Macaca fascicularis: one gene and its partner. The protein of the gene in region 2 purifies or fractionates together with the protein of the main gene of each other region. This does not show direct contact. Links are inferred from orthologs where the notes say so. Each region holds a gene or a part of one and is shown on either strand. Other genes may lie near its edges.

The links.
Region 1: the proteins of SRPK1 (region 2) and HNRNPC fractionate together in Homo sapiens (co-fractionation; 3 studies listed by BioGRID and IntAct, with this or other methods). This does not show direct contact. The link is inferred for Macaca fascicularis from reciprocal best matches to the Homo sapiens genes SRPK1 and HNRNPC.

The regions. Positions count from the first base shown.
Region 1 is NC_088381.1:88,872,664-88,876,314, forward strand, and holds the end of HNRNPC (heterogeneous nuclear ribonucleoproteins C1/C2), read right to left. Parts: intron 3,009-3,651; coding exon 2,895-3,008; intron 2,654-2,894; coding exon 2,493-2,653; intron 2,394-2,492; coding exon 2,310-2,393; 3' UTR 495-2,309; downstream 1-494. UniProt on the Homo sapiens protein: Binds pre-mRNA and nucleates the assembly of 40S hnRNP particles. Interacts with poly-U tracts in the 3'-UTR or 5'-UTR of mRNA and modulates the stability and the level of translation of bound mRNA molecules. Single HNRNPC tetramers bind 230-240 nucleotides.
Region 2 is NC_088378.1:135,750,745-135,754,450, reverse strand, and holds the start of SRPK1 (SRSF protein kinase 1), read right to left. Parts: upstream 2,803-3,706; 5' UTR 2,761-2,802; coding exon 2,159-2,760; intron 1,790-2,158; exon of another isoform or gene 1,725-1,789; intron 1-1,724. UniProt on the Homo sapiens protein: Serine/arginine-rich protein-specific kinase which specifically phosphorylates its substrates at serine residues located in regions rich in arginine/serine dipeptides, known as RS domains and is involved in the phosphorylation of SR splicing factors and the regulation of splicing.

The sequences.
Region 1 (3,651 bases), on a different chromosome or scaffold from region 2:
GCAAAAGTAACTGCGGCTAATTAAAAGTAATGGCAAAAGGCACAATTACTTTTGCACCAACCTAATATTAAGTGCTTTCCACAGCTTCATTCAATATCTGCTTTCCTACAGAATTAAATGTATAGTTGGCCCTCCGTGTTCGTGGGTTTTACACATGCAGATTCAGCCAACTATAGATCGAAAATACTAGTAAAGAAAAAAAAATTAAAAAGTAACAATACAAATAAAAGTAGTTACAACTATTTACATACCATTTACATTTTATCAGGTATTTTAATGTAGAGATGATTTAAAGTATACAGGAGAATATGCATAGGTTACATACAAATACTATGCCATTTTATGTAAGGGACTTGAGCATCTGCAGATTGTGGTATTCACAGCTAAATAGACTGCTCTGTGCGGGGAAAGAGGCCCTACAGTGAAGTGAAAAGTAGACACTTGATTGTGGACTAATTTTTCCAGTATTTCCCAAAAACTTACAGCTAACAACATAATATTAAACATGTTTTATTAGCATCTTATACATCTGACACTCTCTCCTAAGCATCCAGTTTATTTTCTAGTCATGGGTTACTTACTAAAAGTCTATGTAACATGAGCTCACATCAGATCAGAAAACATCAAGTGGGTAGTATTTTTGACTGAATTAACATACAAAAGAAATTGCCTATATCATGTATATGGGCTCCAAGGGTAGTTCATAGTTCAGCCTCTTCATTCTTTTCTGCTTTTGTCACCTGATATAGAAAATGATCTATAAAATCCTTATAAATAAGACATGAGTTTCGCCTGTAATGAGTAGGATGAAAAAAGGCCAGTGCTGCATGCTATGAAACAATAGCAACTTTATAGGGGAATCCAAGGTTTGTGTGCACAAAAATTATAAACGCCATTTTCTGCTGTGCTGGAAAAACTGAAGTTTAAAACACAAATCAATTAAGCCTTTCAAGGATGAGGTATCACAACACTGGTAGCTGTTTAATATATTCATTTTAAGTAAGACTGGATGCTAAAAATACAATAACTGTAATTAATAAAGTTGAGGGAAAACACAAAGATCAGCTAATAGGGGTAAAAGATCATTTAGGGTAAAATAAATGTAACATTCTTTATGTTCTCAATCACCTGGGAAGGCAAGACTGTGGAGTATCAGGAAATAAGAGTTTTCTCGTTTTCAGTAACATGGAGATATACACTTCAGAATTCAGAAGGTAACTGAGGCTATAAATAGTAATTAAAAGAACAAAACAGAAGAAAGCAGGGAGTTCCATTGTCCAGCTGTTGCAATTTTCCTGAAATCTTGTTTTTGAGTCTCTCCTATTTAAGGACAAAGCAATTTAGCACACAACAAAAACCTCAAAAAGGGTGCCAGTTGGACCACAAAGCACTGAACTTTCATTAGGATGTAAAAGCCATTTTGAAAAACAATCGCCACTGTATGTCAAGTTATTTGACTCCTCAATGCAACATGCAACTCAATGAAATATAATTTGAGTAGTGTTGTGTTGGTATGTATCATGATTATGACTCCAAGAAAAATGTATCTAGTACATTCTAGAGGTTTTGTGGAGGACGCTGTAAAACAAAGTTTGAAGTAAACAATAATAAAATACAAAAATAAAAAACCAGGGTTTTTTTTCTCCAAATTCCTGGTTTAATAAGGACTTGTTTATTTTGAGGAAAAAAGGTCCCAAACATCAGGCTGTTCACAAAAATAACCCACAGTATCAACTTTAGAAAACAAATCTTAAGACTATAACACTAATTATTTTTCTAGAGGATGCATTTGACATGCCAACTCTCATTCACAAAAATACATTGTTACATTTGTGTTGAACTGCCCCACACAGCACACTAATGTGGGGGTGTAACACACATACTTCTAACTCAAAGCTGCTTTCAGAAGCTACTCAACTAAATGAGATTGCCTTTGCAGTTAGGGAAGCAACTACTGAACTTATGTATGAATGAAAAGAACTGTACTCCCTGCATAACAAGAGATTATTTTGGAGACAGTTGATAAAAACCATACATCCTTTTTATTGTTAAGTCATAAAGAGGTATCAAAATTAAAAGCAAAAATTACAGGGTAAGACTTAACAAAACTACTAGGAGCGTCAAAGGAAGTGAAAATGGGACTAGGCGCGGGGCAATATGAATTAATGAACATGGGAAGGACAAGGATGGGGAGAACAGTGAGCATGTGCTGAAGATACTAGGGGAGAGGATCTGGTGAAAAATTTGATCTTAGACAAGCGCCTAGGTAAAGAAATAATGGGATAAGATTTCTAAACCCCACTATGTGCTTAAGAGTCATCCTCGCCATTGGCGCTGTCTCTGTCATCCTCTCCTTCCTCAGCCTCTTTTTCATCATCCTTGATCAACTCCAGCTGTGAGAAACAGACACAAATAGGATGGAGTTAGAGGCACTCCATGTGTCCCTGAGCCCCCCTCCACCACCTTTTTCTTTCCTTTCCCGTGGTTTTCACCTGGTCATCCCCCCGATCTTCATTATCATCATCATCCAGTAGGTCCCCCTCCTCAGCAGAGTCATCTGCACCCCCCTCAGACTCCATCTTCACATTAGTCTCATCTTTCTTCACGGAGCTGCTGCTCTGCTCCTCTTCTGACTTATCGTTCTTCATCTCTACTGGGGATGAGAAGGACAAGTCTGTCTAGGGGCAGTAATGTCCACAGGATGTAGACAATCCCCACTAAGGATCACAGAACTGCAGCACAAATCTAAATCCTCCCACACAAATACCCTTCCCAATTCACACTCCCCAAGTTTCATATTACATTGCTTTATATTCCACTATTCCAACATATACTTTAAAGTGCCTTACGTAACTAACCCAACTATATACCCAACAAGCAGAAAACCCATTTACCTGCTTGTTTGCTCTGTTCCTTTTCAATTTTTTCCAGGTTTTCCAGGAGAGAATCCACTTTTTGTTTTATCTGGGTCAACTCCTTCTTAATGGCCTGAAGGTCATCTCCTTTCACTTTAACATAAACAAAATAATGGATTAAAATCAAATGTACAGAAGATATGAGTTAGCAAATACACTGGCACTAGACTACATCAGGAGCACCCAGGGAGAAACAGAGCCAGTACAGATTTCCCTGTAATAAAGGCCCTTGGTTCTACTATAAAGCTTATAACTACTTACTGTAATTTTTTTTTTTTTAGTATCTTTTAGACTTGGGTTATCGCTACATTGCCCAGTTCTGAGTGCAGTGACTATTCACAGGTATGATCACAGTGAACTCCTGGCCTCATGCAATCCTCCCACCACAGCCTAGATCCCCAGGGTCTTAGCCTCCCCCTAAGCATCTGGGGCTACAGGCGTAAGTCACTGCATCAGACCTTCTGTTGTTTTACTGCCTTCCATATTTCCAGTTACAGGAGTTCAATACAGAAAAGTTTAAAAATCAATATATTGAACACTATCTGAATTTTAGTTTTTAAATAACCCACAAAAAAACCCTCAGAAACTTAACACACACCTCAACTAAATAAAGTCAAATGACATCTTTCAAATCACCTAGCTGTTGCAGTCTAGAATTGGCCACTCAGTCACAATCTCGTCTCCTCCATTATTTTGGATTTTTAAAATTATTTTTCTTGAGATGGAGTTCGCTCTT
Region 2 (3,706 bases):
GGGCAACATGGCAAAACCCTATCTCTACAAAAAATACAAAAATTAACCAGGCGTAGTGGCATACACCTATAGTCCCAGCTACTTGGGGGGCTGAGGCAAGAGAATTGCTTGAATCTAGGAGGTGGAGGTTGCAGTGAGCCGAGATCGCACCACTAAACTGCAGCCTGGGCAACAGAGCGAGAACTTGCCTCAAAAAGAAAAAGAATAAAAAGGTAAATTTAAAACAAAAAAACGCAAAAACGCATTAATTGGAAACAAAACCAAAAATAAAACACCTCTGAAATTACAAGTAAATGGGGCAGTTCATTCACGCATATTTTCAGGAGTCAAAGTTGTTCAAGATAAAATATTCAGTAAAATGACTGCTACGTTATCTATAATCCACACTTGCAAACAATTAACAACACAAATAACTCTAAGTTATCCATAGTAGTGAATGGGGTAACAGATATACATATATTTGGCTTTAGAAATAAAGCATATAGTCTAAATAGATAATCGGAAGTAATAGATATCTGGTGCTTAAAGTATATGATCACCTATATACATTTGCCCCTCAAATTATAGCTTGATTTGGGCTAATCTCAAATTAATTTCCAAGTGGTAAGAGAGATCCGGACAAATGGTCTGAGAGACCAGGATTTCTAAAAAATACAGTAATATAATAAAAACCGCAACTTCCTCGTATCAATAGAAAAGAACGTTTTAACACATTCTTATCAATTCCACAAAGAATAACTCAACTAGGCACAGAAAACTAACATTTCAATTCCTACTGCACACTAGAACCAAGTTAGCACCTTGCTGTTTCTATTAAACAATCTAGGATTAAAAAATGGTTTTGAATAATCCCATATACGGATAATCCAAAGGCAAACAGACACACACAAACTCACCATTTACAAACCTTCGTCACCAAGCACTTACAAAATATATTTCATAAGACGGAATAGAAAATAGAGCAAGAGGTGAGGTCACCTACCACTTTAGTTCTATTGAAAGACAGAAGTCATTAGGTGCTCTCCCCAAACAGTAGGTAGCCTCCAAAAACAACACACACCCCTACGCCCCCCTTAATCTGGTATTGTCATTCAGTGGGGTGACCTAGGAAAGCCTTTGAAATGTGTTGTATCAACTCAGAGGGAATTAGACCGCATACAACGCCAAAAAAATCAAATAAATTTAAAAGTATAAAGATAATACATCTTAAAATTAAGAACTAGGCATAGAATCTCTCTCTGAGAGATGATTTCCAAGAGCTGATTTCCAAGACCCTTTGCAGTTAAACGTTAGTACATGATGAAAGTTCTTTAGGCTTAGCCTCACTTGCTGAATGAAGCCTGCTACCTGAGTTTCTATTAGGCTGTGACCAACTTTTGAACTTGCCACGATAGCACTAAACTACTGTTATGCATCCCACTGATAAAACTGGACATGTGGCGCTTAATACACCAAACCAGAACCATCGATGTGTGTTAAAGAACTCTCCCGTTACTATAGTGATGCCGACTCCGGAAGATTATCTGCATTTGATTGAGGTTTAGACAGAAGAGAAGCAGTTAACAGACACTGACTGTATACACAGCGGTCTGCCGGCACAGTGCAAAAAAGCCGATGTGCCTTGCAGGTTCAGGAAGTTGACTAACCCAAAGAAAAGCCCCATGCCCTCCTCTATGAAAGGGAGTGTGTGGTTGGTAGAACCCAAAGTAAACACGGAAAAACTCATTCAAGAATTTCCTTAAGGCCTACCGTGCAGACGTTGGAGGCAAGTTAAGACGTTGGGGAGCAGGTAAGAGAGAGAGACCAGAGTTCAGAAACAGAACGATAATGATCTACCAGCTCCGGTGGGGGGGGGTCCAAGCTAGGGGAGTTTGTGCCTCCTCTGTGGAGTTGGGGAGGAAAGGTACCGGGCGGGCTCTGGTCCTCCTCCGACAGCCCTTTCCAGCAGGCCTGGGGCTGCTAAGACCCAGGCCTGGCGTTCAGCAACAGCAGCTCTCTTCCACATGGTTGCTGGAGAGCGACCCTCCGAGCTGCCCCGAGGCCATGTGGCTGCGGCCACAGGGTGCCCAAACCCTGTGCACATTCAAGACGCGAAACCAGAGCAGAGAAGGTGCCGGAGGAAAATCCAAAGAATGGGATGTTGGGGTACAAGACTCACTTCCTTTGGGCTTTGTCCTTCTTGGCCTTGGTCCTTTTCTTTCGGGCCTGGAGCGCAAGCACTGCAGGAGAGAGGGATGGATGAAGGGCAAATGTGGAGGAAAGGAGGTGACCAAGGTGAGGGTGGAGACCCAGCAGGGGCGCCAGGCCCGGCTGCGGGGCCTGTCTCAGGGGCGGCTGCGGTACGAGCGCGGAGGCTTCGGCAAGGCGGCCGGCCGGGGGGCTGGCGGCCCACGGGGCACAGAGCAGCGCCCGGGCGGGATGCGCCGGAGGGGTCTCAGGCCGGGTCAGGGGGCGGGCGGGCGGAGGTCTGCCTCGCCCGCCAAGGTCCGGGCCCTGGAGTGGCCCCAAGGCGCAAGCTGGCCTGGCAGGGAACAAGGGGCGGCGACGGCCGGCGCCGGAGGACGCCCGGGCTGAGGGGCGCGGACCCGCAGCCCAGAGGCGGGGGGTGTGGGGCGGCGCCACCTCAGTGGAGGGGCGCCGCAAGCCCGGGGACCGAACCGCGGCAGTTAGGCGAAGCTCCGGGCGCTGACCCGGGCCTCGCCCCGGCGGCCGTTGCCCCTCGTGGCGGAGGCCGCTCCACCGCTCACCTTTCCGCTCCATGGTGAGACCGGTAACCGCCAAGCGCCTGCGCACTCGAGTGGCGGTGACTCCAGCTCCCGCCGCGGCCCAAAACCGAGCCCGCGCACACTCCACCCCCAGTCCCGCCCCGCCCCCGCCCCACCGTGCCGCGCGCATGCGCGTCGGGAGCGGAGCCTACCACCTGCTCCCGAGGAGGGGGCGGCAAGGAGAGGGAGGGGGCGCTGAGAGGAGGAACGTCGGGGGTGAACGTTGAAGGAGTGTTAGAGATCCAAGCTTGGAAACCTGGCAAGGTTAGTTTTGTTCTATTTGCTTAGAAAAGGCGCAGAGAGCGGCAGGGCTCCCTGCATGCTGCTGAGTCAGAGCTTCAGAGGCTTGGGATCTGCCTCAGTTTCCTGGCCTGTAAAATGGATTAATCAGGCATGTCCCAGTTTCTCCTTCCCTGAGCTATTGTGAGCCCAGTTGAGATACTATTTAAAGAAAATGGAAAAAAATTACATGTGAGAAAGAAAAGGGAGTGGGAGCAACACAGAAAGACTGGAAGGAAAGAACCTGTGACCCTATTATCACTTGAAAAGTAAAAACTTCAAAAGTGAATTTTCTCTTGAAATTTCAAGTTTAAATGAAAGCTGTAAAGGAAAGAAAGGGAAATGAGAATAAAAACGTTTAATGTTTTCTTATTCTACCACCTTCAATACATGATAAAGTTGTCTTGTTTATGAGATTTTTTTTTTTTTTTTTTTTTTTTTTTTTTTTTTTACTTTTCTAAGTGCATTATCTCATTTTATGTTTATGGCAACTTAAAGGCAAAATAGTTATTACTTCCATTACACAAAGACACTAAACTTAAGAGGACCTGCCTATATGTTCAGAATCTTGGTGTACGACCCAGTTATTTAATCATCAAGCCCTTATTGTATAGCAGGCTCAGCAAAGTTTTTCTTTGGGCCAGATAGTAAATATTTAGGCT